Macaca fascicularis: one gene and its partners. The protein of the gene in region 1 purifies or fractionates together with the protein of each later gene. This does not show direct contact. Links are inferred from orthologs where the notes say so. Each region holds a gene or a part of one and is shown in the gene's direction. Other genes may lie near its edges. The genes, in order: RAD18, POLH, SLF2, SLF1 and SHPRH.

Region 1 (6,138 bases):
ATTATTTTCTCTATTAATAGTCTACATTTCATCTTAAACCCATGAGAACTTGTTTGCATGCACTTATGAGCCTGTCATGTTTGTTAAATGATACAATTACTGTAATTGAAAGTACTTGCAGCAGGAAAACAGTGAATCTCATGTTTAAAAAAATGAATAAAAGGAAACTCAGGCCTGTTTACAGTGGTCCTTGATCTGACCACTCTCTCTATGATCAACATGAGGCAAGGAGAGCCACACACCAGGAGATTCTTTCTATGGACCTACCAAGAAGGAAAGTAGGTCATCCTGGAAATAATGTGTATTGGAAGCAGGTTAATAATGAATGGCTGGCTCTCCTAAGGCATGTTTTTGCATTCAATAGATTCAGTACTTTAACAGTAGATAGATTCAGTACTTTAACGGTAGATGCCTCACTGTGGCCCTCCCCAGGAATATCCTCTCATCTGGCTAACATGCTATTGTCAAATTTTACTAAAAGAAATTCATTAGTAATACCTGCTGGAGACCAAGAATTTTAAAACCTGCTGCACCTGTGAGATCTTACTAAGTGTTATTCCAGTAAGTCAATGCGTTACATGCATGGAAAAAAATATGGGTTGGGTTATTCTATTAGGATTCTTGTATCTTAGGGGATGAGGTGTTTTAGAGAGTGTTCTGGGAGTACCACTGAAATACTCCTTGCCAGGAACTCCCCTCCTAAGGAAGTGGAAGAAGTATAGATGACTTCTTCCGCTACCTCAATAGCTGTGTCTGTTGCCAGCTATCATAAAGGCAAATCAAAGAGGGGAAACATGGAAAGAAAATATTACTGAAAAATGTTAAAGGATTATTAAAAACAAGGTATGAGAATAAAGAGCAATAAAATAGAAGTTAAAAGTAAGGAGGAACATCCCACTAAATTTTAAGCCTTAAAAATAATCAGAAGTCAAATAAGTAAATGATAATAAAACATTAAGATAAAAAATTTGACATGGTGAAAGTTGAGAGATTTTTAAGAACATAAACTAAAACATGAAAAAAAGTAAAAATGATAAGAGTGATAGCAAAAATGGTGGAAATTCTCTGCTCCATAAATGCAGTAATAAAACTGCAAAAATTGTCGGATTCAACTTTTCGGAAAACTCTGAACATTAACCAAAGGCAGCAGCACTTTAGGGGGCATTGATTCAAGAAAATGTCTGAATCTCAGTGAGAACAGTGAGTTTTGTGGTGATTCATCTGGTTTTGTTCTCATCCTTCTCTCTCTAGTTCCTCTGTGGCCTTGGGAGCCAACAGTCTGCAGTCATGGTGAGGACCAGCAGGCTGACAGCCTGCAGAGAAGGCAGAGTAGGGTTGGAGCCCCTTTAAAGCCACATTCCTGGAGAATTTTTACTTAGCCTATCTAATGGTTCCCTGGAAGACTCTACTTGCCAAGACTATCTTTACTTTACCTGACTTGGAGCTTGCTCACTTCAAAAAGCCTTTTCTCTAAGGGTATTTGTTGAATGCAGTTAGAGATGTTTGGCTAGCTTTGTAGCTGTCTGAGGTGGTACATAACAATTGGGGCAAATGATATGCTAACCAAAAAGCCTAATAGTAAAAGCTGAAAAGTAAGATTTCCATGGGGGTTTTGAACAGCTGTAAAATATTACTGGGAATCTAGAGGGTCACTCTCATTCATAGAGCTTCTGTGCATACTTAGGATAGACCTAAGGAAGCACTAAGCTTTCACCCCTGGTTAACCATGAGGCTGTGTGCAAGCAGGAAGTAGAGGCTAAGGCAGAGTTGTCCACTGAGTGTTGAGTGAATGTTGATTGCATGCCCCAGCATGCACACAGAGCCCCTCAGCAAAGACTGGTTTTGCTAAGAGTTTCTGAATGATACTGGTTCCAGAGGTCTAAGGAACTGTTCAATCATTAGTGGACTACAAAGCTAATCAAGCAGACACTTTTAGTTGCCATACACAACGAAGAATACGTATTTATAGGATTGGTTTAGAAACGTCACTAAACAATAATAGCAAACAGCAACAACAACAAATCCTGGAGAGATCTTATTGGTTGGTTGTTTATTTTTGGTATTTATCATGATTGGGGTTCTTTGACCAACTTTGATCTTGATTTGATGTGTTTCAAATTTTTAGAAAATCCACAGCCATATGTATTTACATACTTATTTTCCACAGTTCTTTCTCTCCTTTCTTCCAGGCATTCCAGTTACACACATATTATGCCATTTTTATTGTCTCACAGCTCTGGCTGCTCTATTCTATGTGCACACCCTCACACACTCCTTTTTCTCTTTGTATCTTAATCTGGATGGTTTTTATTGACATCTTCAAGTTCACTAAGTCTTTTTATCAACTTTATGTATTACACTTAAAGCCTATTGAAGGAATTTCCATCTCAAAATGGGTTTTTTTCCTTGCATTATTGTGTATCATACTTTTTGAATGCTGGCCATACAGTGAAGGACCATAGGGACTGAGGTCAATAGTGTTTGTGCCTAGAAATGGGTATCCTTCTATTGGGTCATTAGTGTTGGGAGTTGAGCCAGGTAATTCAGAGTTGACCTGGGTTGGAGTTTCCTAGTGACTAATGTGACCTTCAGTGCATCCACTTCAAGTTACTCTAGCAGATGTCTGCTTTGACTTCTGCTTAGTGTTGGGGCTGGATTGCCAGAGGGTTTGTCTCACTGATTTTACTCCCATTTTCCTTTCCGTCATGCTTACTTGCCTGCACCCCATAGGGGCATATCTTCACCATGTTCGTATCTCTCCCTCAGCCATTTCCTGCTCCTGCTTATTGCTTGGTGCTACGCTCATGGTGGGAAACAGCCAAGGTTCACTGTTATCTCAGTCCAGCCTGAGTCTTAGGTAGGCCCTGTGAGCTTAGGGATGGGCCTTTCTCAGCACTTCTGCCTCCTCCCATGGTATCAGGCTACCTTGACCAAACCTCTGCTTGGTGTCAGTGTAAGGTCATCAGCTGGAGATGATTTTCTGCCCCTCCTGTAAGGTAGAGGTTTTAGTTTCTACATTTCCCCTGCCGCAGTGAATCTTTGCCTGCGTCCCTGCAAATGAGGTCATATGCCTCCCCTTGAGACAGACTGATTTCACCTCTGTTCCTTCTCCAGAGGCCATGGGTCTTTGCCAGAGCCCCAGAGTGAGTTTCCTATGTTTCCCTCAGCAATTGAAAAGCTTATGCTTCATGGGAGAGAAGCATTCAAGAAAGCAGGCAGGACTTCTTCTTGTCCCCAGTAGCCACTGAAGTGGCCCCTCTCCATTCTCCTGCCCTGCTCCCAGTCTTCTTGTGAGCACCTGACGGAGGCTCGTGGAAAAGAGCTGGCAAGTGTGTGCAGACTCTCCTTGTGTCAGTGGCCCGCAGTACTAGCCTGTACTTAAGAAATTAGGAAAATCTTAGCTGATTCTTCTTCCCTGTTTGTATGGTAGCCACCTCGTTCTCCAACACTCTGCCAAAAGTGAGAGACGTGTGGCCCATCTTTGGAGGGGCATATTTTTCTTTGGAATTTTGCTTTCTTAGTTCCTTTACAACCTCAGGTCTCTGAAGGATCAAGAAGAGTTAAGATTTTGTTAGACTGCCTGGCTTTTTCTTGTTAGGATGGGAGCAGCTTTTTGTTTACCTTTTCTTTTCCAGTCCTCTACATGCTAAACAGAAGCATAAAACTCCTAAATTTTAATTCAGCAAAAGGGACTATCTGTAATCCTTGCTAATTCACTAATTCATAAAGTGGAAATACTAATAATAACAATTATGAATTCATCCACAGAATAGAGGGTTATTTCGAGGTTTTAATGAAATAATACCTGTGGAAACACTTGTAAACTAGAAACTGCTGTAGAATAATAATCATTACTTTCTAAGATGCCATTTCTTTTTTCTGTCTTCAGAAACGATCTTCAAGACACAGAAATAAGTCCAAGACAGAATCGCCGCACAAGAGCCGCTGAAAGTGCTGAGATTGAACCAAGAAACAAGCGTAATAGGAATTAGTGTGGGCTTTTGCTGACTTTTCAAATGCAGTGATTAGAATAAGGTACTTTTGGTTGCCACAGACAGATTTCCTGTTTATAAATGCCCAAGGAAAGATGCTAAATTCTAAATATTATGGTCAGCTGATGTTCATTCTTTTCTGCTTTTCCAGAGGGGAAAAATATTACAAAGTATCTGTACTTGGTCAGTTGCCTCCTTCCTCTAAAACATCTCTATCTAAAAATACTGACATTTTACACAAGCACCAGCTTTGCAGAGTAGGCAGACTCTTTGGCACTTTGGCAGAGGGATTTGGTTTGGTTTGGTATAGTTTGGTTTGATATCTAAATTTCAGAATGTCCTTAGGCCATTCTCCTTCTCTTCCCTGGAGAATCCAACCTCACAAAAGGATTCTTTCAACCTCTTTATTACAAGAAACAGTTGAGTTAAATGTTTATGTTTTTGGAAAGGCAGGATGTCAGTTCACATCCTTGGTGTGTGTAAGTACCAATGCAGGCCACCACCATGCCTGTGGTACAGCAGCTCCATGATGGTTGTTGCCCGAGGTTAATGTAGTTGTTTGTTAGACCTGTGTCTTACACATTTCTCAGAGTAAGATATTAGTATTATAATTTAAAGCCACAACAGTCAGAAAGTCACAATAACTTAGAAACATTGCACATATTCTTCTGAAATAGCACTTAAAAATGATTAGTGTATTTTTTCACTTGGGTCAATCAAATCTGTAACACTGAATCCAAGCTATTAAACAAAAAAAATATGCAATGAATGAATTTTGTAAATGAATAGAGTGTATCAGTTTACAATAATGTTCTTAAAACAGGATCCTCTGGATAGCTGAGTATGGGTTAGAAATCATTGAAATGGATTGGTCAGAAATTGCTATCTGTGTGTAAAATGTCTACCAGTAGCCAGATGCTTCCGGAGTTCATAATGCCTCTCTGGCATTTCAGAGCCAGCATTCCCCAACTCCCACCCCTCTGCCACCACCCATTCCAAACACATCATCTTTCAAATGAGATGACAGCAAATGCAGCAATGTTAAGACAAGAAATTTGTAATTTGCCAGGTTCAACATTTATGACCTCCCCATTCCAAAGACTGTCTCTGTTGACCTTGGCTTTTTGATGTGCTTTGGGGTTTCTGATAATGTGCAGAGTCTCATTATGGCTGAAAGTTTAGTGTTTTCACAGTGAAGTCCAGACATTTGATTTCTTTATGAGTTCCTTGTGTTAGAAATGACTATAGAAAAATTTGTCATAATAATTTCATTTGCTTGAAATCCTTAATGGTGCATTAAGGAAACTAAAAGCACCACTTACCAAATCCATCAGCAGAACTGATGTGAGGTAAGTGAGCATGTCAAACAAAATTGGGGCTCACATGACTATATTTATGTCACTGAGTTGTCAGAAATTATGTCAAAATGAAAACTGCTTGTTTCATGACAAATTACACAGTCTGTAAATTAAACTGGAAGTAATTACTACTTTAACTGCAGCAAAAGGAGTTTGTGAGGGAGTGGTGAGACCCAAGACTGGGAAAGCAGGCACATGAGTTCATTCAGCAAATATTTAGTTATCTACTTAGTTATATATCTGTCACTGTACTGACACTGGGAATACAAAGGTGGCCAAAGATCAGCTAGAACAGTGGTTCCCAGTGGGGTGGGCAGAAAGATTTTGCCCCCCAGGAGATAGCTGGCAATGTGTGGAGACACTTTTGGAGGTGGAGGGTGGTGAGGGGTACTACCAGTATCAATGGGTGGAGGCCAGGGATGGTGCTAAACATCCAACCCTCACGTGTTAGTTTGCCAGGGCTGGCATCACAAAATACTACAGACTGGGAAGCTTAAACAACAATTCTGGAGGCTGGAAGTCCAAGATCAGTAGGGTTTCTTCTTCGGCCTCTCTCCTTGGCTTCCAGACAGTGGCCTTCTTCCGACGTCCTTGCATGGTCTGTGTGCACATGACTGTGCAGGACTGGTGTCCTGATTTCTTATAGGGACAGCAGTCATTGGATCAGGGCCCATGCATATGGCCTCATTTTACTTTAGTTACCTCTTTTTTAGGTAGAGGACCCTATCTCTCAATACCGTCACATTCTGAGATACTGACAGTTAAGACTTCCAACATATTTAGTGGCA
Region 2 (6,138 bases), on another chromosome or scaffold:
CATCACAAGTCCAGGCTTTTAGAACGTCTGAACAGCTGGCTTTAAGTTGGGGTTCCTACAATCCCTTCTTTGGATTAATTTGCTGAAGTGACTCACAGAACTCAGGAGAACACTTACTTATGTTTATTGATTTATTATAAAGGATATTATGAAGGATACAGTTAGGTTGGGCATGGTGGCTCACACCTGTAATCTGAGCACTTTGGGAGGCTGAGACAGGAGGATTGCTTGAGCTCAGGAGTTCGAGACCAGCCTGGGCAATATAGTAAGACCTCATCTCTACCAAAATTAAAAAAAAAAAAAAAAAAAAGAAACACACACAAAATTAGCCAGACATGGTATCATGCAGCTCTAGTTCCAGCTACTCGGGAAGCTGAGGTGGGAGGATCACTTGAGCCCAGGAGATTGTGGTTGCAGAGAGTCATGATCAAACCGCTGCATCCAGCCTGGACAGCAATGAGATCCTGTCAAAAAAAACAGGAAGATGAAGAGATATATAGAGCAAGGCATGTGAGAAGGGGTGTGGAGCTTTCATGCCCTTCCTGGATGAGTCACCCTCCAGGAATCTCTACCGTTACAGCTGTTTGGAACCTCTCTGGACCCTGTCCTCTTGCGTTTTTAGGGAGGCTGCATTATGTACTCATGACTGATTAAACCGTTGGCCATAGGTGATCAACTTGACCTGCAGACCTCTCCTCCTCTCCCCTCCCCAGAAGTTGAGGGGTAGGGCCAAAGGTTCCAACCCTTCTGAAGCTATTATTCAACATTAGCATACAAAAAGACAAAACTTGGGTGATTCCAAGGATTTCTGGAGTTGTATGCCAGGAAACTGAGATGAAGACCCAATATATATTTCACAATATTGCAAGTATCCTTTTCTGGCTTTGTACGTGAGCATATTGCTCTTTCTTTTTTCTTTTCTTTTTGTTTTTTGTGAGTGGGGGATGGAGTTTCACTCTTGTTGCCCAGGCTAGGGTCCAATGGTGGGATCTCGACTCACTACAACCTCCGCCTCTTGGGTTCAAGTGATTCTCCTGCCTCAGCCTCCCGAATATCTGGGATTACAGTCATATGCCACCATGCCAGCTAATTTTGTATTTTTAGTAGAAACGGGGTTTCTCCATGTTGGTCAGGCTGGTCTTGAACTCCTGACCTCAGGTGATCCACCCACCTCTGCCTTCCAAAGTGCTGGGATTACAGGTGTGAGCCGCCGTGCTTGGTCTTGCTCTTTATTTTCTTTGAGGCCTGTCTTCTTCCTGGCTCAAATAATGATTAAAAAAAAAAAAAAAAAGTCAAGTGTTTCTCTAATTTGAGAATGTTTTAGAACAATGATTATACTGGTTTTTATGGGTGTCATGGTGAAGAGGTACCAGTGTTTTCATTTTTATGGTAAATGTAAATTCAATAGGAACAAAGAACTGGACACTACAAAGCAGGTCCAAACCAAAGCAAAGAAAATATCTGTATAGTGGCCGGGTGCGGTGGCTCATGCCTGTAATCCCAGCACTTTGGGAGGCCAAGATGGGAGGATCACCTGAGGTCAGGAATTTGAGATCAGCCTGGCCAACATGGTGAAACCCCATCTCTACTAAAAATATTAAAAAATTAGCCGGGCATGGTGGCAGGCGCCTGTAATCCCAGCTACTTGGGAGGCTGAGGCAGGAGAATCGCTTGAACCCAGGAGGCAGTGGTTGCAGTGGGGCCAGATCCCGCTATTGCACTCCAGCATGGGGGACAGGAGCGAGACTTCATCTCAAAAAAAAAAGAAAAGAACAAAATATCTGTATATTGTCACAGAAAACTAGCTATACAGGCAGAAGAGCTGCTTATTAAAGTTTGAATAGAAGACATATGGTGAGATTGGTATGTATACCCTGAGGACGGTTGTCTGCCCACCCAGACATATCACCACATTCTAGGTGCTTATCTTCGGTTTGATAATTTGAATATTAGTATATCCATAAATGGTTGGTTAAGGCATGTGTGTGTATGTGGTGATGACCAGTTTACATGTTAACCAAACTCACCGTTGACTGAAGTATAAAATCCATATGCCAGTTTGTTAATTTATGGTGAGAAATATTATCCTGGGGAAGACCATATGCTCTGGTTCACTGATCAGTGCAGTGTTCCATGTAAATCACCCTTTTTTTTTTTTTTGAGACAAAATTAGAAGCAGAAGATTTCTTGGTGGATATATGAAAATAAAAAGAATAGGTGATCACAGTAATACACAAATGTGAGGCATTTCTTTATTTTTTATAGAGTTCCTTGTCATATAGACGTGTTCATAGTCTGAATGCTTTCTACCTTGGTAGTTCTGGCATTGTGCTAAAAATATTTGCCTCCGTGGTTCTTCCTTTTCCATGCTTCTATTATTGACCATCTGCCTGCCTGTTGACCCTTTCAGTTACTACTTTCTAGTCTCTGTTAAGCCACATGTCTCTTGATTATGTATATTATTGTTCATTATGGCAGGGTGGGAGTGGAGCAGACAATCTCAAGGTTGCCTCTGTTTATTGCCTGCATGAATGATCCTTACACTTCTTAGGTACCGGGAAGCCAGTGTTGAAGTGATGGAGATAATGTCGCGTTTTGCTGTGATTGAACGTGCCAGCATTGATGAGGCTTACGTAGATCTGACCAGTTCTGTACAAGAGAGACTACAAAAGCTACAAGGTCAGCCTATCTCAGCAGACTTGTTGCCAAGCACTTACATTGAAGGGTTGCCCCAAGGCCCTACAACAGCAGAAGAGACTGTTCAGAAAGGTACTTCCATAACATCATATTGCTTCTGCTTCCTGCCTTTGGAACCTGCTTTGCTTGGTCATGCTGATTCTCCATGGAATAATTGAAAGGAAACTTAAACTACAGCCTGAATGAATCACAAGGACTTACATGGAAGCATATACAAATTTTCTTATCTTTCCAGGTATATGGCTGTTGAGAAGCTGTGAAATCTGTATGAAAGTAAATTTCTCTTTTAGATGTAACTAGGGCAGGTTAGTGTTATCAGTAGAAGGCAGAGGCCTGGCGCGGTGGTTCACGCCTGTAACCCCAGCACTTTGGGAGGCTGAAGTGGGTGGATCATGAGGTCAGGAGTTCAAGACCAACCTGGCAGCATGGTGAAACCCCATCTCTACTAAAATGCAAAAATTAGCTGGGCATGGTGGTGCGTGCCTGTAATCTGCTACTCAGGAGGCTGAGGCAGGAGAATTGCTTGAACCAGGACCCAGGAGGCAGAGGTTACGGTGAGCTGAGATCTCACCACTGCACTCCAGCCTAGGCTACAGAGGGAGACTCCATCTCAAAAAACAAAAAAATCACTAGAAGGCTGACTAAGCACTTTGTCATTGGTGGCTTAATTTTTATTATTGTAACTTAGTGTCTTGGTTAACTAATATATAAGAAGGGTGAGCTTTTTAAAGGGGGACCTCAGGTATAGGGAGTTGAGTGATTCAAAATTTCTACTCACTTCATAGCACATTATTACATGGGCTGCACAAGGCCCTTCTCATTGTATTTTGCTACTTTTACCCTTCATAGTGATTTTCCCACTCCCTCTGTACCCCCCTCACCCTCTTGTACCCACTGATATACTTGATATATCTTAGATGTGTATATATCTCTTCTCTTCTCTTCTCTATTTTGAGATGGAACGTCACTCTCGCCCTGGCTGGAGTGCAGTGGCACGATCTCAGCTCACTGCAACCTCCGCCTGCACGGTTCAAGCAGTTCTCCTGCCTCAGCCTCCGGAGTATTTGGGATTATAGGCATGTACCGCCAAGCCCGGCTAATTTTTGTATTTTTCATAGAGACGGAGTTTCATCATGTTGACCAGGCAGATCTCGAACTCCTGACCTCAAATGATCCACCCGCCTCGGCCTCCCAAAGTGCTGGGATTACAGGCGTAAGCCACCGCACCCGGCCTATATCTTTATAAGTTACCCAGTATTGCTTTGTATATGTGCTTTTTAATTACAAGATGATTTTGTGCTATTAATAGATCTCATTCTTTTTCTTAATTTTCCCTCAGTAGTGACCTTAGAGATCTCTCCATGTGGCTGTATTTATTTGTAATTGCTGGCTTCGATGGCTGTTACTTGCAGCATAATCCATGATATGGACCCACCATGTTTACAGACCATTTTCCCTGGTGACAAATTCATTGATTGCTTCTAATGTCCTACTGTAACAGTTTACATTCCTCCTAGGAGTACATAAAAGTTCCTGTTTCCCCCATATTCTCAACAACTCATATCATCTAATGTTTAAAAATAGGCCGGGCGCGGTGGCTCAAGCCTGTAATCCCAGCACTTTGGGAGGCCGAGACGGGCGGATCATGAGGTCAGGAGATTGAGACCATCCTGGCTAACACGGTGAAACCCCGTCTCTACTAAAAAAATACAAAAAACTAGCCGGGCGAGGTGGCGGGCGCCTGTAGTCCCAGCTACTCAGGAGGCTGAGGCAGGAGAATGGCGTGAACCTGGGAGGCGGAGCTTGCAGTGAGCCGAGATCGTGCCACTACACTCCAGCCTGGGCGACAGAGTGAGACTCCGTCTTAAAAAAAAAAAAAAAAAAATTTGCTGGCCAGGCGCAGTGGCTCATGCCTGTAATCCCAGCACTTTGGGAGGCTGAGGCAGGTGAATCACGAGGTCAGGAGATTGAGACCATCCTGGCTAACATGGTGAAACCCCGTCTCTATTAAAAATACAAAAAAATTAGCCTGGTGTGGTGGTGGGCGCCCGTAGTCCCAGCTACTTGGGAGGCTGAGGCAGGAGAGTGGCATGAACCCAGGAGGCGGAGCTTGCAGTGAGCTGAGATCGCGCCACTGCACTCCAGCCTGGACGATAGAGCGAGACTCTGTCTCAAAAAAAAAAAATAAATAAATAAATAATTGCCAATATAATGTTTGTTTGTTTTGTTTTAATTTACATTTCTGTGATTACTAATTGAGATTGAAGATCTTTTCATACACTTGTAAGCCAGCTGAGTTTCTGCTTCTGTGATTTACCTTTTTATAATCTTTGCCCATTTTTCCATGACAAATGGTAAAATTATTTATTTTTTGATTTGCAAGAGTTCCTTGTATATCCTATCCTAATTATTAGTTCCTTGTCTTTTTTTTTTTTTTTGGAGATGGAAGTCTCACTATGTTGCCCAGGCTAGAGTGCAGTGGCTATCAGTGGCTATTCACAGGTGTGTAATTATGGCTCCACTGCAGCCTTGAACTCCTGGGCTCAAACAGTCCTCCCACCTCAGCCTGCAGAGTAGCTGGAACTACAGGTATGCGCCATCATGCCTGGCTAATTTTAAAATTTTTTGTAGAGATAGGGTCTCACTATGTTGCCCAGGCTTTTCTTTTCTTTTTTTTTTTTTTTTTTTTTTTTTGAGACGGAGTCTCGCTCTGTCACCCAGGCTGGAGTGCTGTGGCCGGATCTCAGCTCACTGCAAGCTCCGCCTCCCGGGTTCCCGCCATTCTCCTGCCTCAGCCTCCCGAGTAGCCGGGACTACAGGCGCCCGCCACCTCGCCCGGCTAGTTTTTTTTTTTGTATTTTTTAGTAGAGACGGGGTTTCACCGTGTTAGCCAGGATGGTCTCGATCTCCTGACCTCGTGATCCGCCCGTCTCGGCCTCCCAAAGTGCTGGGATTACAGGCTTGAGCCACCGCGCCCGGCCAGGCTTTTGTTTTCTACTTGGATATTGATGTGTTAGGAAATGATAAATGGGTTTTTTAAAATAAATTCATTTTTTACTTTATCTATCTGAAAAAAACTTGTGATACAATCTGTATGAAGTGTTTTAATAACATGTACTTGAAGGTTAATTTTTTTTTTCTTATATTTGAATAGAATTAGAACAATAAAAACTTGCTTTTGTGGCCGGGCACAGTGGCTCACGCCTGTAATCCAAGCACTTTGGGAGGCTGAGGTGGGTGGATCACGAGGTCAGGAGTTCAAGACCAGCCTGGCGAAGATGGTGAAACTTCGTCTTTACTAAAAATACAAAAAAATTAGCTGGGTGTGGTGGCACACGCCTGTAATCCCAGCTATTTGGATGGCTGAAGCAGAGAATTCCTTAAACCCAGGAGGCAGAGGTTGCAGTGAGCCGAGATCGCACCACTGGACTCCAACCTGGG
Region 3 (6,138 bases), on another chromosome or scaffold:
TTTTTTTTAAAACATGTAAAAGTATTGTTTTTTCAAAAAATTTAAAATGTTGTCTATCTTTTGAAAGCGAAGTTCATGCATCTCCTCTTTCATGAATCTTCACTGATAACCTCTGACAATTAGAAGTAGAATGCGTTGAATTGTTTCTGTATATTGCTATAGCAGTTTCTTTAGGCCATTTATGAGTCTTTTACCTATTATGAATTCTTTTTAGTCAGAACCATCTTCTACATAGCTCTCTAACACCAAGAGCAAGGAGGATAGTACCATATAAAACGTAGTTTGTTCAAGAGAAAACTGATGCATAACGATAGAAATGATATTAGTGTTTGCCTTGAGTCAGGGATAGCAGATTGACTTGGATTTGGCATAAAGAGATTTTTGAGGGGAATGGAAATGTTCTACTTCTTGATTAGGATGGTGGTTACATTAGTATATATGATTATCAAAACTTAAAATGGGTACATTCCTTTTATTGTATGTAAATTATACCTCGATAAAACATAGTTTTTAAAAAGTAGCCCAGTATTTCTTAAAGTGAGTAATATATTTTGTGCCTAACTTCACATTGCTTTACTCACTTCTCAATAGTTCTGAAACACAGACAACATCAAGGGGAAAAGAAAGTGAAGATTCATCTTATAAGCCAATTTTTTCAACACTTCCTGAAACCAACATTTTAAATGTGGTTAAGGTAGGAAAAAACTTTTGTGTGTCTTTGGCTCAGAGCTAGAACCATTTGGTCTGTGGTTAATGGTTTTTTGAAAAAAAAAAAATCTCGGCTGGGCACGGTGGCTCACGCCTGTAATCCCAGCACTTTGGGAGGCCAAGGCGGGCAGATCACGAAGTCAGGAAATCGAGACTATCCTGGCTAACACAGTGAAAACCCGTCTCTACTAAAAATACAGGCCGGGCGCGGTGGCTTACGCCTGTAATCCCAGCACTTTGGGAGGCCAAGGCAGGCAGATCACAAGGTCAAGAGATCAAGACCATCCTGGCTAACATGGTGAAACTCCGTCTCTACTAAAAATACAAAAAAAAAAAAATTAGCTGGGTGTGGTGGCGGGCACCTGTGGTCCCAGCTGCTCGAGAGGCTGAGGCAGGAGAATGGTGTGAATCTGGGAGGTGGAGCTTGCAGTGAGCTGAGATCACGCCACTGCACTCCAGCCTGGGCAACAGAGTGAGACTGTGTCTCAAAAAAAAAACTCTAGTTTCTTACCAGGTGATTTCCAGTCTCTGAAATTTCTTAGCAATAATCTTTGTATTAAAGATTGTTTTTGCTGTTTTTGTGTTGTTTTAATATTAGTGATGAACAGGAACTTTAGGTCAGTTACATCATTAAATAGTTTTGAAACCAATAGTTTTTTATAAGTAGGATGTATGAAGAAAGAAGTCTTACAATATAATTTAGTGATCAAGCATTAATGGCAGAGGCCGGGCACGGTGGCTCATGCCTGTAATCCCAGCACTGTGGGAGGCCAAGGCGGGTGGATCAGCTGAGGTCAGGAGTTCGAGACCAGCTTGGCCAACATGGTGAAACCCTGTCTCTACTAAAAATCGCAAAAAAAAAATTAGCCAGGCATGGTGGCAGGTCCTGTTATCCCAGCTACTGGGGAGGCTGAGGCGGGAGAATCACTTGAACCTGGGAGGTGGAAGTTGCAGTGAGGCGAGATCACACCACTGCACTGCAGCCTGGGCGACAGAGTGAGACTCCGTCTCAAAAAAAAGAAGGTCAAAAAAAGTTAATGACAGTGTGAAACATTTTTAGTTGCTGAATTGAATCGGTGTTACTGAACCATTAAGAAAATCTCAAAAATGGAAAATGGAGAAGAAAATGCCACTTAATTCAACTATTAACGTGGAGTAGTTCTTGCCTTCTTTTGTCTAGACATCTGATGTTTGTTTTCTTTATAGTTCTTTTTTGCGTCTTTTGTCAAAAAGTTTATAATTAAAACCCTAAAAATAAAATACACCTTCTAAAATATTTTTGTCTGTGCATTTATGTTAAACAGTTTCTAGGCTTGTGTACATCTATACATCCAGAAGGTTACCAGGATCGTGAAATAATGTTGCTGATTTTAATGTTATTTAAAATGAGTTTGGAAAAACAGCTGAAACAGATTCCTCTAGTAGACTTTCAAAGCCTCCTGATAAACCTGATGAAAAACATCAGAGATTGGAACACAAAGGTAATGTTACTTAAAACTTCATTATTCATTTTTTATATAGCATTACAATTTGACTCATAGTGCATATGGAATTAATACTGTTTCTAAACTCAAGATCTTTGGCAGATTAAAAATGAACTGAGGAAGAGACTGTTTGCTGGAGCTGTATTATTTAAATTCATGATAATTGAATTTTTTCTAAAACTTCAGCTCTTTATCCAACAAAAATGTGTTTATTGGGGATTTCCTGTGGACTCAGCATTAATGTAGGTGCTAGAGATTGAGCTGTGAAAGAGACAAAGCCTTTGCCTTCATGGGGCTTTTGTCCTAGTCAAAGGGTTAGATAAACAAGTAAATGTTGATTATATTATCATGTCAGGTAGTAGTTAAGTACTACAAATTAAAATAAAGCAGGACATGAGTACAGCAAGACTGGATGCTATGCTATTTCATATAAGGCAGTCAGGGAAAGGCCTTTCCAAAATAACCTTGGAGCAGAGACCTAAATGAAATGACGGAGTGAGTCATACCTACAACCAGAATTTGAGTTGAACTTCTGCAACCATATGGAGGATGAACATGTATAATTTTTGTTAGGACTTTTTAAAAATTATATTTTTCAGTCTTTTTTGGTGGAAAAATTAAAATAGGCAGAAGTAAGGCAAAGAGTATAATAAATTCCTAAGTATCACTTTGCTTCAATAATTGAGACATAATCTTGTCTAATGTAAAACTGACCCTATATTTCCTTTCCCTGCTCATCAGATTATTTTGAAGCAACTGTTAGGCTTTTTAAAAAATTGATACACAATGGTAATACATATTTGGGGGGTGTTAGGCTTTTTTTTTTTTTTTTAGACAGCATCTCCTGTCACCCAGGCAGGAGTACAGTGATGCAATCTTGTCCCAGTGCAACCTCTGCCTCCTAGTTTCAGGTGATTCTTGTGCCTCAGCCTCCTAAGTAGCTGAGACCATAGACACACGCCACCCTGCCCAGCTAATTTCTGTGTATTTAGTAGACACAGGGTTTTATCATGTTGGCCAGGCTGGTCTCAAACTCCTGGCCTCAAGGGATTCACCTTCCTTAGCCTCCCAAAGTGCTGGGATTACAGGCATGAGCCACCACACCCAGCCAGGTGTTAGGCTTTTAAAAATACTGAAATAGGATCCCTGTGCAAGAAATCCCAAATCAGGAATATATATAGTCTTGTACAACTCTGATACACATTTATGTTTAGATCAGTTTATCCTTCCAAGAAGGACTGTTTAAAGATATGATGTAGTACAAAACATGAAAGCCAAGTGAAATTCTGCTAAATGTATCTGTTCAGTCCATTTAAGATAGTATAAGTAAAACAATCTGTGTATTGTGTACATTTTAGCAGATTCTAGACTCCATGCTATTTCTAAAAATGTGTGCCCTTATTTTGTACTAGTGCTTCCATTATGGCAAGAAGGGATGTAGATGATCTGTTGGGTGTTTGATTTTACTGTTCTGTTTGAAAAGAAATCTTACATGTTCTTTTTTTTCAGGTGCGTGAACTCTGTCTGGGCATAAATGAACTCTCGAGTCATCCCCACAACCTTCTGTGGTTAGTACAGCTGGTCCCTAATTGGACATCACGTGGAAGGTATTGAAAAGTGAGAATTAAACATTAAGAAATTTTATAATTTTAGATTAATGAAATGCCTTGGTTCTTTATTTCCATTCATCATTCTTTGAATGTTAGATCAGAGATGTTTATTTCATATTCAGTTGTGAGAAAAGGCATTGATAGCCTGATTCTTTCTTACTCTAATTCTTAACTCAGGTCGTTATGTAATTTTTTTTTTTTTTTTTGAGACAGAGTCTCACTCTGTCACCCAAGTTGAATATTTTTTTATTTTTAATTTTAGTTTATCTGTTACCTTAATACAGATGACATATTCCACAAAAATAAATGAATCAGCTTTTTTTTGCTTTAGTAAAAATAAATTTCATCAGTAAAAAAAAATAGGTTTTCTGTCAGTAAATCATCAGGGTCAAAGATAAGGCTGTTAAATGATTTACTGAGCTTCAGATAATTCAAGTTTTATGTACAAATATTTTACATGAAAATTTTACTGTTCTATAACAGCTTATATGTTCCTGTACAGACTTCTCTTGAAACATTGCCTATATTTCCAATTAGAACTAGAGCTCCTCTTGACTCATTCATTTGCTTTTCAAGCAGTATTAATTAAAATACATTCTAAATACTTTTAACTTCTAATTCTAGGCAACTGAGACAGTGCCTCAGTCTAGTGATTATTTCAAAGCTTTTGGATGAGAAACATGAAGATGTTCCTAATGCCAGTAATCTGCAGGTATAAATAAATACATTTTTATTTTTAATAAATGGGAGAGGTAATGAGAGGTATAAGGAAAATTGATGAACCCTAAGTCAAAGGTCCTGGGGTCAGAGCTCAGCTCTCAAGCATGATACTGTTCATGTAATCTCTAGCACACTTAACTAACAAGGTCCAGTTTTTTCATCTGTGAAATGGAGATAGTATTGCACCCTCCACCACATAGAATGGTTGTGGACAATCATCTCTGAATTAATGTATAAAGAAACTACTGGGAAAATCATAATGTGGAATTACATGAATATGATTTCATTTATTGAATTAGTTCAACTTGTCTAAGTTAGCAGTTTTATCGCAAACTTAGAAATTGCAAAACCATTGTACATTGATTGCATCTTTAACCTGTTTTAAAATGAGTCTTTTTAGATCATAGAGCTTAAATGTAGTTGCCCTCTAGTACTTGTTCAGTAAGAATATATCATGTATATATGAGAATGTGGACAAACATGTCCAACTGTTGCTCGGTAGTGGTGGCACACACCTATAGTCCCAGCTACTTGGGAGGCTGAGGCCAGAGGATCCTTCGAATCCAGGAGTTCGAGTCCAACCTAAGCAACATGGGGAGACCCTGTCTTTAATATATATATGTGAATTTTTTTAATTTAAAAAAATGTCCTACGGAAGTCCCTCTCTCAGAAGTTCTGAAGGCTTTTTACAAACATTGATAGCACTAATGGGGCTGCCCTTGGTTGGATTTGAAAACTCACCATAGGCCAGGCACGGTGGCTCACACCTGTAATCCCAGCACTTTGGGAGGCCTAGGTGGGCGGATCACGAGGTCAGGAGATCGAGACCATCCTGGCCAACACCGTGAAACCCCATCTCTACTAAATACAAAAAAATTAGTCAGGCCTGGTGGCAGGCACCTGTAGTCCCAGCTACTCGGGAGGCTGAGGCAGGAGAATGGCGTGAACCCGGGAGGCGGAGCTTGCAGTAAGCCGAGATCACGCTACTGCACTCCAGCCTGGGCGACAGAGCGAGACTGTGTCTCAAAAAAAAAAAAAAAAACTCACCGTAGAACCTGATCTGGATGTCCCTTTGTTCTTGTTTGAATTGCAATTTGGTACAAGGTATGCCACCAGGTCTTAGGAATTAAAACAAAACAAAGATTTAGATTTGAGGCTGCCCTTGAAAACATAATATAATGGTTGAAACAAAATTAACCAACTCTTGTGGGTTAGTGTGGTAAGAACAGTAACCGAAGCATGCAGAAGATGCTGGGGATGGAGAGATTGATGGGCACAGCTGGTTTCTGCTTTAGTAGAGTTGAGGTAGATTTGATTCCAGATATATGGGGATCGTGCTGGAGCTACCAGGGTAATTAGCAGATAGTTCTCATTCCTTTCAATGATATTTACTGCCTTCGAAAAAGATCCGGGGATAGGATTTCTACCATTTCTTTTTTTTTTTTTTTTTTTTTTTTTTTTGAGACGGAGTCTCGCTCTGTCGCCCAGGCTGGAGTGCAGTGGCCGGATCTCAGCTCACTGCAAGCTCCGCCTCCCGGGTTCACGCCATTCTCCTGCCTCAGCCTCCCGAGTAGCTGGGACTACAGGCGCCCGCCACCTCGCCCGGCTAGTTTTTT
Region 4 (6,138 bases), on another chromosome or scaffold:
CATATTTAATCATTTTCAAAGGAAATAAATTGCTTTAAAGGGGTTTCCTGATTTCTGCTATTATGCAGTTAGTCCTATTTTCATTTTACTATGGGCTCTTGTTTTGACAGAAAATGCTGTTAAATATACAAAGTGGGTTATTTCCATCGTATTTATTTTATTATAAAGACCATATGGTTTAAGATGAAAACTTTGCTTTACACACTAACTCCAATAAATCCAAATAATTTAATAATTTATACTTGAAACCAGAATACATTAAAATGTTACGTTGTTAATAATATTCAAATTGTAAAATAGCTGTTAACATGATCTGGAAACAGCAATGTAGGATATGTTTCCTTTATTTCTGTATAACTTAATTCTGAGAAAGCAGAATAATAAAATTTAAAGGACAAACTTTAAATAAAACTCTTTTGGGTAACAGTGTTATAACAATTTTTTTACTATTTTTTGTATATTCCGATTACTTAACATTAGTTTTTTTGTGTCAATTTTTAGAATAATCAGGCAAGATTTTAGATTTTTTAAAACCACTCAAACTTCTTTGGCAATATTCCTGAAATAGCCATTAAATAGCCCTTGAAACTCTAAAATACATTAAAAATATACAAGTAGTAGGAAAAGCATATGTGCCTGTAATCCCAGCTACTTGGGAGGCTGAGGCAGAGAACTGCTTGAACCCAGGAGGCAGAGGTTGCAGTGAACCGAGACAGCGCCACTGTACTCTAGCCTGGGCGACAGAGTGAGACTCTGTCTCAAAAAAAAAAAAAAAGCAAAAAAAAAAAGCCAGGTGTGGTGGCGGACGCCTGTAGTCCCAGCTACTCGGGAGGCTGAGGCAGGAGAATGGCGTGAACTGGGGAGGAGAACTTGCACTGAGCCGAGATTGTGCCATTGCACTCCAGCCTGGGCGACGGAGCGAGACTCCATCTCAAAAAAAAAAAAAATTGGATGATTAATACAGTAAGGGGTTCCTTATACAAGAAGCTTAATTTATTTACTGATGAAACTGTTTCATGTATATGATTAATTTTTCATAAGAGACCAATCCCTAGTATGTGCACTTAAAAATTTTACACTGACTAGACCAAATCCCTGTAACTTTTTAATAAAAACATTTATTTCATTGGAGAGCCTTATCTTTAAGGCACTTTCTTATGTTCTGTATCTGAGTTTTAGAGGGTTAAAGTACATTGTACCTCTTTGCCCCTTTTGCAGCCAGTTGAGAAATGCAAAAATCAGATAAATTGAGGTTGAAATATCAGCTTTTTTATTGAGTAAACATTGCTTTGAAGATGATGGTTTTTGTTTTGTTTTGTTTTTCCCTCATCCTTCTGCAAGAAGGCAGTGGTTTTGATATGGAACCATAGTGTGCTTCCTAGTACATAGCCTCTGAATTGACTTACCCACACAGGCAGTGCAGGACTACTACTGGCAGCTCCTTAGGATGTGTCAGAAAGCATCGATATGGACCTTCTTTGCAAATATGCAGATAGGCTGAGCAAAGCATATCCATTTAGTTGTCTCAAGGAGCTTCTCCAACGAAATGGGGAGTGATGAAGGGTAGAGAAAAATTAAGAGTGCAGTTACCCTAGCCGAACTTCCTCCTCTTCAAAACTCTAAGCAAAGAAATAAAAGTTCACTTCTGAGTAATGCTTTAAATTGTTTATATTGAGACTTTCTTTCAATTTTTACTCTTAAATGAATCCCAACCTTTATATATGTTGTATTTATATGTCTTTAAAAGCAGACTTTTGTGAAGAATGTTTCTCACTTTACCAGTTGTGTGCTATTAGTTATGGGCTCAAATCATTACAGTTTTTGAAGTTTACTTGTAATTGTATTGAAAGAAGTCATGTTTCTTTGGTTGTTGAAAATAGCTACTGTTGTTATTCTAGCTATGACATTAGTTAAATATTAATAATCCATAGCTATGATGACCAAATTGTTAGGGAAATGAAAAATTGCCCTGATTTCTCTAGTCCCTGCTTTCCTTGTCTGTGAAAAGATTGAGATTTTTCTCTAAGATGCTATCTAGATCTCCAGTTCAACCTCATGTAAACAAATAAAATTGTATTCTGATGAGAAATTCTATGAGTTATGTACTCCCTAAACACAAAGTACTTTTTGTGAACTACATTAAAATATGGATTGAGGGTCCCTATGAAAATAAACTTAGATTTTAAAAAAAGTGATTTTTCAGTTTACCTTGTAAATGATGAAATTAACATATATATATAGCAAAGTTAAGAAATATAGATTGCAAATAGGATCCAGGATTATTATGTGTACACACTTTACTAAATTATTGGATATAAATGCTGTGAGACCATGAGTTCTATTCACTTCTCCGGTAATGTGTACATATTTAATATCTGTCCACAGAGGCTTTAAAGTCTTTGTGGAGCATAAAATCTGATTGTTTCATTGTCTGTAAGTTTCAAAAGCTCTTAGCGAACAACGGTAGTTTTTTTTTTGTTTTTTGAAATGGAGTTTCGCTCTTGTTGCCCAGGCTGTGTAGTGCAATGGTGCGATCTCAGCTCACCACTACCTCTGCCTCCTGGGTTCAAGAAATTCTCCCACCTCACCCTCCCGAGTGGCTGGGATTACAGGTATGTGCCACCATGCCAGGCTAATTTTGTATTTTTAATGGAGATGGGATTTCACCATGTTGGCAGGCTAGTCTCAAACTCCCGACCTCAGGTGATCTGCCCGCCTTGGCCTCCCAAAGAAAGTGCTAGGATTATAGGCATGAGCCACCGCTCCCGGCCAACAATACTCTGTTTGTTTGTTTGTTTATTTTTGAGATGCAGTCTCACTGTGTCGCCCAGGCTGGAGTGCAGTTGTGTGATCTCATCTCATTGCAACCACTGCATCCCAGGTTCAATCGATTCTCCTGCCTCAGCCTCCTGAGTAGCAGGGATTAAAGGTACCTGCCACCACACCTGGCTAATTTTTATATTTTTAGTAGAGGTGGGGTTTCATCATGTTGGCCAGGCTGGTCTAGAATTCCTGACCTCGTGATCCGCCTGCCTTGGTCTCCGAAAGTGCTGGGATTACAGGTATGAGGCACTGCGCCCGGCCCAACAATACTTTTTAAATGAAGCTTGTATAACATTATTATGCCAATATTTGTATAACATTCTGTCATTTTCTGAGGAAGAATATTTATTCATCAATGTGTTTTAGTGTCAAGTAACGTATTAATCCAGACTTTCAATGTTCAAATCAGAAAGAAAAAAAACCCCTCACTTTTTTAAGGCCACATTTTGAGAAGATAACTTTTAAAACTAGTTTCTATCGTATGTAAGTAATTTTAACATTGTTTTAAGAGTTATGCCTAACGTCTTTAATTCATTATATGTTTAATAGTTTATTTTTAGTACTCATAATTAAGAAAAAATAATGATGTCAACCCTGTGAATAATATCTTTAACATGTTATCTTCTGTACGTTTGTATTTGCTAGATGGAAGATGGTGCCCCAAAGCATATCATCCAAATGACAGGATTTAAGATGGAAGAAAAAGAAGCGCTAGTCAAATTACTTTTAAAACTAGATTGCACTTTTATTAAGAGTGAGGTAAGAAACTTAGCAAAATGTTCAAGGTATATTTGAAAAATAACTAGAATTAAAATGCTGGCCTAACAATGATAAAATGCCTTCTTGATATTGTAACAATAAGAAGAATGTGTTATAAAGGCAGTCTTACTTTAGTAACATTTCTTGATGTGGATTTTTCCCTCCAGAAATACAAAAATTGTACACATCTTATAGCTGAACGCCTATGTAAGAGTGAAAAATTTTTAGCAGCTTGTGCAGCAGGTAAGTTAACTGTCTTGCCCCAACTTTTGAAAACAATCTTCATGTTAAAGAAAAAGTATTTTATTCTCTGGAGAGATAGCATATTTATATATCAAACCTCAATGTGTTTTTCTGATATTTTTTGAAAATATTTAATTTTTTTTTTTTGCTTATTCTTCTGAGTAAAATTCTGTAACACATGAAAAATGTATTAAATAGGCAAAAATATTTACCTCAACAAGGATTTAGTGTGTTTTATATAAGACAAAAAAAATACATTAACTAAAAGACTGGCACAAAATGTCAAAATCTTAAGCTTTTGTTAAAGTCTCAGCTGTTTTCAGTCAAGTTTTCTTTCATCTGTCATTTGATACAGTCAGTGCTTTTGTTCTCTCTCTGCTGCTTCTATCCATATTATGAAACAATGGTCATACTATTTTATTTTTCTAAGATATTAAATTCTATAGATCCAAATTAAGACTTAGTCTTCTCCTGTATCGTTTTGTAATTTATAGCTTTCTCTATTTTTATAGCTTTCTGTATTGTGATTGATCTAACATATCATTAGTCTACTGATTGCAAAAAAAAAAAAAAAAGTGTGTGTAACTTGGGTGAATTTATCCTTTTTTAGATTAACTTACAAGGAAAACACTTGCATTCGTTTTTAACTTTACAAATGAAAACATACATTGTCCATAGTGTTCAAAAAGATCATTGATGCCCAGATAAAGAAACTGTTGGTTGCGTGCGGAGGCTCATGCCTGTAATCCTAGCACTTTGGGAGGCCAAAGCAAAAGGATCACTTGTGCCCAGGAGTTTTAAGATCAGCCTGGGCAACGTAGCGAGATCTCATCTCTTTAAAAAAAAAAAAAAAAAAGTTATAAAATGACCTGAAAAATTCCTTAACTCAATAAATTTGTTTTACAGAGTAATAATGCTGTGAACAATATTGGAAAAGCTGTTAGCATAGGAGGAAGAATATAAATCTAACCCAAAATAGTGAATAATGATAGTAATAATAATTCAAGTAATACCACATTTTATTTTGGATTTTAAAGCTTTAGATTTATGTTTAGAATTATAGAATTGTAATTTAGAATTATATTTAAATGAAACTATAATTATAACTAAGTTATAACTATGGAATTATATTTAGAATTACAATTATTTGTCATGGAAAAGATTACATACAGTGTTCAGTGATATTGTAAGCCTCTCACTATCAAAAAATTTCCCCAAAATGCATAGTTCAAAGATAATGTTAGCAGTGTCGCTTAAGAGTCTTATCTTGAAAAAGGTTGACTTTTATTTTATAATTGATCTTCGTTGTTTATCATTTATCAGAACCAAAATTCCTTTGTGACTGACAGCTCATTTGCTTTCTAGGAAAGTGGATACTAACCAAGGACTATATAATTCATAGTGCCAAAAGTGGCAGATGGCTTGATGAAACAACTTATGAATGGGGATATAAAATTGAAAAAGATTCCCGTTATTCACCTCAAATGCAATCTGCACCTAAAAGGTGGCGTGAAGAACTGAAACGCACTGGTGCTCCAGGAGCCTTCCACAGATGGAAAGTTGTCCTCCTTGTTAGAACTGATAAGCGAAGTGATTCTCTTATAAGGTAGGATGTGATTACATAAAAGCTAAAGCAATTCGTGAGAAAATAATTTTGATTTGTATGAGTACTTTCTGTATTTTTTTGCAATTATTAGCCCAAATGAGCCATGGTGATTTACTCCAATCTCCTAGGTAAGCCATTATGCTCTTTTAGACTTATGTGTCTTTCATAGAACAAAATCTACTTTACAATATTGTTTTAGATTATTCTGGATATCTCTATTTTACTTTCCATGTTATTCCTTTTGACCAACTCAAGCAAAACAAAAAAGGAAAACTAATTGGGAGGTTTTTGTTTCTAGTTTTGAAGCACTTTTAGACTTGCAATTATCACAAAAGCATCATTCTGGATTTATGTAATGCTGTCTTCATTATTCATACTGATTTCATCATAATTTTATTTCATTTTGTCCTTGCCATATTTTTGAAAGCTTTTTTATTGGGTAAACTGTATTCTAAGACTGCTGTTACTTTTTTTATGGCAAGAGGGTGGGGAGTGTTTTTGTCTCCGTTAGTTAAATGTAATTTATAATCAATAAAATGCACACAAATTAAGGGTATGTTTTGATGAGTCTGGACAAATTGATGCACCCATGTTACCCTCACTATAATCAAGATCTGTTCCATGTACATTATCCTATAATGTTCTCTTGTGTCCTTGAACATTTAGTTCTGTACCACCAACACTGGGCAACCACTAATTTCCTTTTT
Region 5 (6,138 bases), on another chromosome or scaffold:
TCATAGAAAGAAGGCAGACATGTTCCCTTTTGACTGCCACTCATTTCTGCGGAGTTACTTGTCAGCTCAGGCAGTTTTTTTGGTTATCACATTTCTTATGTTCGTAATCTAAGGTTTGAATTATTTTACCCTAAAATACAGTTTCAGTAAACTTAGACTTTATGCATTGCTTCCAGTTCTCTTTAGAAAAAGTATAATTTGTATTCACATTCTTGTGATGTGATTTATCTTGTTTTTTTTTTTTTCCTTAGCATCATTCGTGAGTACCCAAATTGTGGGCTGCAGTTGCTTGGTGGAATTTTAGCAGATGAGATGGGTCTTGGAAAGACAGTGGAGGTTTTGGCTCTGATTCTGACACATACTCGACAAGATGTCAAACAAGATACTCTCACTCTTCCTGAGGTAGGAGGGGTACAGTAGGGCTTGCAAAAGCAAGGGACATATGTTCTCGAAAAGCATCATATGTTGAACATTTGCTTGGCACTTAAGTCAACACTTTCTGTTCACTCTGTGGGTAATGATTTATATTAGTGGTTAGTTAACTTCAAGTGGGCAGAGAGAATGGGGTGTTTGTGACCCAGAAGGTTTATTTTTTAAGTAATGTTGGCCAACCTGGAAGAGAATTAGCAGTCACTTACTAAACTTCCTTCTAGTTGGCAGAGAAACTCCTTTAAAAAGTACTGTTGACTCCTCAAATGTTTTGTCACTAATAAAGTCTCCATATTACTACTAAATATTTTTAAGAGCTATTTAAAAATATTGTACAAATCTCAGATATATAAATCTTAGAACCAAATAATTAGAACTTTGTTAAAGAACAGGTAGCTTAGTAAATAGATTGCTAAATGAAACAAATTTCAAGTCCTTGTCCCAAAATACATAATTGTGTATAAAAATATAAATTTTGGAGTTACAGAAACAAAATCCACTAAGGCAAATATAGTATATAGCTCATATTTTCTAGTAATGAAATCCAAAATCAGCGTTTACATTAAATCTTGCTGAAATGAAGTCAGTAGTTAAAGGTGTAATTATAATTAATTACATCCAGGATCCACCAGTCTCACAGCTTTAGCATTATGTTATCTTTCAGTAGGGTCAAGTTTGCAGAATTAGCCTTTCAGATTTGAATAGGAAATAGAAAAAATTATGTTTTCTTTGTAGAAGTGTGACTTGGAATATGTTGATTTAGCTCAGTAACTTCTCTCTGAGATGTCCTACTCATTACTCCTTTAATTCCAGGTTATTTTCATATTATTATAAATTCAATGGGTTAATTTTATATTTAAATATACCTTTAAAAGTTAATTTCAGGCCGGGCATGGTGGCTCACGCCTGTAATTCCCAGCACTTTGGGAGGCTGAGGCAGGCGGATCACGAGGTCAGGAGATTGAGACCATCCTGGCTAACATGGTGAAACCCCGTCTCTACTAAAAATACAAAAAATTAGCCAGGCGTGGTGGCGGGTGCCGGTAGTCCCAGCTACTCAGGAGGCTGAGGCAGGAGAATGGCGTGAATCTGGGAGGCGGAGCTGGCAGTGAGCCGAGATCGCGCCACTGTACTCCAGCCTGGGTGACAGAGCTAGACGCCGTCTCAAAAAAAAAAAAACTTAATTTTGGAGGTTCCACACATATCATTTAGGTAATTTAAGATAATATGCACATATTTTTTAAGTGATAGCTAGCTGTAAACTCAGAAATAAAACAATGTATGTATCTACAGCTATTTGGCCCTTTCTCTTGCAAGTTTTTTACAACTGTTTTGCATTTCCATAAAGAAGGAAAGTTAATTTCAATAAACAATTCAGAATACTGAGAGCAAAACACTGTGTAACTACTGACTGTTGTTTGTATCAGGGAAAAGTGGTGAATTACTTTATTCCGTCACATTATTTTGGAGGAAAACTGAAAGAGACAGAAATCCAGAATATCGAATTTGAACCAAAAGAAAAAGTTCAATGCCCTCGTAAGTATGACATCTCTTAAGGGAAATACCTTTTTGTAGTGATCTTTGCTAAAGTTCTTGCAATCCTTAGAGATATCTTGTAATTGTTATAAATAATTGTTTTTACAGTTATGTATGCTTTTCATAAATGAATTCAATTACAAGTCATAATATCTTAACAAAAGTAAAGATGTATTCTTTTGTTTGACTTGGCCCAGGTAGTTCTTGCTCAATCTGTTGTATTTAAATCTCTTTAGCTTGCAGTTTAAACCAGGCTTTATTTATCTTTTAGGAAATGAACGTTTCATATACTAATCATTGTGTATACTTACATAATTGTGAGAGTTTTCTTTTATAATTCTGAATGATTGTTGTTTTATAACATTAACAATTCAATATGAGTAATTCTTCCTTCAATTATTTGTATTACACTAATTTGTTTCTTAATATGCTGAGATACATTTTTATTACATATTTTTTCAAAATGACACTATGTTGTAATAAATCTTTGATTTATTTTTTTCTTAACTCAGTCCTCATGCAGATTAAGATTAACCAAGTTTTACTTTCTTTTCATTTTAATTATTTTGACTGAATTAGCATATCCTTTTACATTTAGCTACACGTGTGATGATCCTGACAGCTGTGAAGGAAATGAATGGAAAAAAAGGAGTGTCCATCCTTTCCATCTATAAGTATGTCAGTTCTATATATAGATACGATGTTCAACGGAACAGGAGTCTTTTGAAACGGATGCTGAAATGTTTAATTTTTGAAGGTCTCGTGAAACAGATCAAAGGCCATGGTTTTTCTGGGACTTTTACATTAGGAAAGAATTACAAGGAGGAAGATATATGTGATAAAACAAAAAAGCAGGTAACAGAGCTTAAGTTAAGCTGCATATTAAGTACACGTATGTGATACCTTACCGAGTACATTGACAGATCCCACCTTGACACTGAAACTCTTACAATCTGAAGATAAAAAACAAAATAGGAAGAGTACTTATATCTGTAACTTATATTTTCTACTTTGTGGATATAAACTCCATGAGAGTAACTTTATTTTGGCTATCATTAAACCCAGAGGATAATGCTTGGCACATAACAAATACTCAGATATTTATTGAATGAATTATAAAATTAGTTGGCTAAGCGTATTATAGAGTCTAAAGCATCTTCTGTATTATTTATTTTTAGTATTTTTTTAAGAGACAAGGCGTCTGTCTATTGCCCTGGCTAGAATGCAGTGGTCATAGCTAACTGCAGCCTTGAACTCCTGTGCCAAGCTATCATCTTGCCTTAGCCTCCCAAGTAATTATGAGTACAGGCTCATGCTACCATGCCTGGTTAATTTTTCTTATTTTTTGTAGAGATGGGGTTCTCACTGTGTTGCCCAGGCAGGTCTGGAACTACTAAATTCTTATTTTCTTTATATTATTATCTTATAAAATTTCTGCATTTTGTTAGAAAACTGCTTCTGTTGGGCCAGTAATTTCAGTTTGCTTTTAGGAAAATAGTTAAAATATTTGCAATCATAAATAAAGACTAAAGACAACAAGTCAAAATGTGGAACTAGCAGCTTGGCCACCAAGAAAAAGACAAAAAAATTATTTCCTGGAGTAGAAAGTCTGGTATTGTCCTTGGGTAGCATTGAAGACAGCAATCAACTGTGCTTTTGGTAATCCTGCTACCACCAAAACGAGAAAATTTCCCATTGAATACATGTTGTGTCTTAACTCCGCTGTTCGACCTCAGCCCTGATATCACTTGGAGGAAGCTGTCCCTGTTACCTACCTACCTATCATACTCCCACTATGTTGTACAACCCTCTTAGGTATTCCTATAGCATCATTTTACTTTTTACTGTTCTCACTTTTCCAGTAGACCCCTTTGAGACCAGGGGCCAAATATTGTTCATATTTGTGTCCCTAGCATCTAACACAACTACTGGCACAGAATTGGCATTTAATAAGTAATTATAAGAGAGGACACATGTAGAAAAGGGAAGGAAAGAAGGAATCAATTTGCTAATTGCAGTAATCAGTGGATTATCTTTTACTTTCTTTGGATGCAATATGTTAGTACTTGGTATTTTTGTAGTTGCCCCAATTTGTGTATTTGTGTACTTGAAAGTACTAGTCTTGTATTGATTTAGGCAGACTAAATCATAGTATGTTAATAACAAAATATCAGTAGCTTCCTTTATCTTCCTAACTTTTTGTCTCTTCAAATCTTATACTTGTAGAGCCTTCCTTTTCTTTTGCGATAAAGTGAGGGTCCTTACAGAGGGCAGATTGGAAACCACTTATCAGGAGTGATTCTCCTCAGGGAAAAGGGTAGCAAAGACTGGCTGCTAGATTTTTATATGAAGTACTTACATAAAGTCAGGCGTTTAATTTCAGAAGTGCAACTATGTTGAAATCAATTAATTAAATATTTTTTTCATAGGCAGTAGGGAGTCCAAGGAAAATTCAGAAAGAATCTAGAAAATCAGGGAACAAGGACACAGATTCTGAATACTTGCCATCAAACACCTCTGATGATGATGACGATCCTTACTATTATTATTATAAGGCCAGGAGAAATCGTAGTAAATTGAGGAAAAAGCCTATTCCATCCACAAAAAAGGGAAAAAGTCAACCATTTATCAATCCCCATTCACAAGGTCTCTGTCCAGCTACTAGCAACTCCGGAATAACTGATGTTGCTATATCTAAAAGTACATGTATCTCTGAATTCAACCAAGAAAATGAAACAGAGGACTGTGCTGAATCTCTAAATGCTGATGTTAGTGATGTGCCACCTTCTAATACCATGAGTCCCTTTAACACCTCTGATTATCGCTTTGAGTGCATATGTGGTGAACTTGATCAGATAGATCGTAAGCCTCGTGTTCAGTGCCTGAAGTGTCACCTGTGGCAGCATGCAAAGTGCGTGAATTATGATGAGAAAAATCTGAAGATCAAGCCTTTTTATTGCCCCCACTGCCTTGTTGCAATGGAGCCAGTGTCAACAAGAGCAACTCTGATCATCTCTCCAAGTTCCATCTGTCACCAGTGGGTGGATGAGATCAACAGGCATGTGAGGTCATCATCTCTTCGAGTCTTGGTAAGGCCACTTGGACTAGAGGGAGAGGAAGATGTGAAGTTTTTCTTGTTCATGATAGTTTCCGAATCTTTGTTTCTTTGTTGTTTATCCTCAAAACTAACTGAATGATTTAAAGTAATGTTAAAGCTTAAAGAAAAAAATCGAGACTAAGAACTAGAACAGTACAGTGTTATTCTTTTCTAACATCAGAATTTCAGCAGTTTAAGCATTCTGAATATAAAGATGTGAACACTTTTTAAAAATTCTTGAGTATGTAAATGAAAAAATCTTGGTATAAGCATTTATAGTCTTCAGAGAGAAATGCAATCCAAAGGCAGCACTGTGGTATAGGAGCTACTTATCTGACCTGCCATCTCTTAGCTCCAGAATCATCCTCTAAAGCTTCAGTTACCTCAGCTGTAAAATAAGAGTTTACTTATACAGCAAATCTTTATTGACCACTTAAATTATGTGCCAGGAACTGTGCTGAGTTTTAAAAATAGTATCCAGTCATTTGTGAAGATTATATGATTTCATCAAGTACTGGGCACATAGTAATATTATTGTTTCCTAATATTAATACCCATCACTAATTTCATTCTTCCTTCTTTCCATGCAAATGTTACTGAAGGTTTTTATATTTCATCCACTCTACATAGGCATGGAGAATACAGTAATAAGTAAAACAATTTTTGCTGTTAAGAAGCTCTGTTCCGTGTGGGTAGGCAAAGCTTTGAGTCTTAGTTCCATCAGTTTTGAGCAAGTCACTTTATTTTTCTTATGTGTGGGATAGGAATGTTAACTACCAACAGAGTTATTGTTGAAGTTTGGAGATAATGCTTAGCACAGTATCTGAAATATAAAAGATGTTTCATAAATAATAGCTCTTATTTTTCTACATTTTCATACCATTGTGCTTTCACCTATGCTATTGATTCCATCCTCTTACCTACATATAGCCCTTTTCTTTTTTTGCCACCTATGAGAACCTTTAAGATATACCTCAGGTTTTAACTCCTCTGTGATTTCACCTTCTCCGCTACAGAATTGGTCTTTCCACTGTGATGCTGTCATGTTTACATTTATTACAGTTTGTTGTACATCA

The links.
Region 2: the proteins of RAD18 (region 1) and POLH purify together in Homo sapiens (affinity purification with western blotting; 7 studies listed by BioGRID, with this or other methods). This does not show direct contact. The link is inferred for Macaca fascicularis from reciprocal best matches to the Homo sapiens genes RAD18 and POLH.
Region 3: the proteins of RAD18 (region 1) and SLF2 purify together in Homo sapiens (affinity purification with mass spectrometry; 3 studies listed by BioGRID and IntAct, with this or other methods). This does not show direct contact. The link is inferred for Macaca fascicularis from reciprocal best matches to the Homo sapiens genes RAD18 and SLF2.
Region 4: the proteins of RAD18 (region 1) and SLF1 purify together in Homo sapiens (affinity purification with mass spectrometry; 4 studies listed by BioGRID and IntAct, with this or other methods). This does not show direct contact. The link is inferred for Macaca fascicularis from reciprocal best matches to the Homo sapiens genes RAD18 and SLF1.
Region 5: the proteins of RAD18 (region 1) and SHPRH purify together in Homo sapiens (affinity purification with western blotting; 3 studies listed by BioGRID and IntAct, with this or other methods). This does not show direct contact. The link is inferred for Macaca fascicularis from reciprocal best matches to the Homo sapiens genes RAD18 and SHPRH.

The regions. Positions count from the first base shown.
Region 1 is NC_088376.1:147,137,810-147,143,947, reverse strand, and holds the end of RAD18 (E3 ubiquitin-protein ligase RAD18), read left to right. Parts: intron 1-3,889; coding exon 3,890-3,992; 3' UTR 3,993-5,487; downstream 5,488-6,138. UniProt on the Homo sapiens protein: E3 ubiquitin-protein ligase involved in postreplication repair of UV-damaged DNA. Postreplication repair functions in gap-filling of a daughter strand on replication of damaged DNA.
Region 2 is NC_088378.1:127,932,277-127,938,414, reverse strand, and holds part of POLH (DNA polymerase eta), read left to right. Parts: intron 1-2,551; coding exon 2,552-2,769; exon of another isoform or gene 2,770-2,898; coding exon of another isoform or gene 2,899-2,932; intron 2,933-6,138. UniProt on the Homo sapiens protein: DNA polymerase specifically involved in the DNA repair by translesion synthesis (TLS). Due to low processivity on both damaged and normal DNA, cooperates with the heterotetrameric (REV3L, REV7, POLD2 and POLD3) POLZ complex for complete bypass of DNA lesions.
Region 3 is NC_088383.1:109,901,294-109,907,431, forward strand, and holds part of SLF2 (SMC5-SMC6 complex localization factor protein 2), read left to right. Parts: intron 1-591; coding exon 592-694; intron 695-2,012; coding exon 2,013-2,189; intron 2,190-3,701; coding exon 3,702-3,799; exon of another isoform or gene 3,800-3,809; intron 3,810-4,426; coding exon 4,427-4,514; intron 4,515-6,138. UniProt on the Homo sapiens protein: Plays a role in the DNA damage response (DDR) pathway by regulating postreplication repair of UV-damaged DNA and genomic stability maintenance.
Region 4 is NC_088380.1:98,621,590-98,627,727, forward strand, and holds part of SLF1 (SMC5-SMC6 complex localization factor protein 1), read left to right. Parts: intron 1-3,468; coding exon 3,469-3,582; intron 3,583-3,749; coding exon 3,750-3,825; intron 3,826-5,190; coding exon 5,191-5,431; intron 5,432-6,138. UniProt on the Homo sapiens protein: Plays a role in the DNA damage response (DDR) pathway by regulating postreplication repair of UV-damaged DNA and genomic stability maintenance.
Region 5 is NC_088378.1:53,798,993-53,805,130, reverse strand, and holds part of SHPRH (E3 ubiquitin-protein ligase SHPRH), read left to right. Parts: intron 1-251; coding exon 252-402; intron 403-1,856; coding exon 1,857-1,965; intron 1,966-2,563; coding exon 2,564-2,820; intron 2,821-4,394; coding exon 4,395-5,054; intron 5,055-6,138. UniProt on the Homo sapiens protein: E3 ubiquitin-protein ligase involved in DNA repair.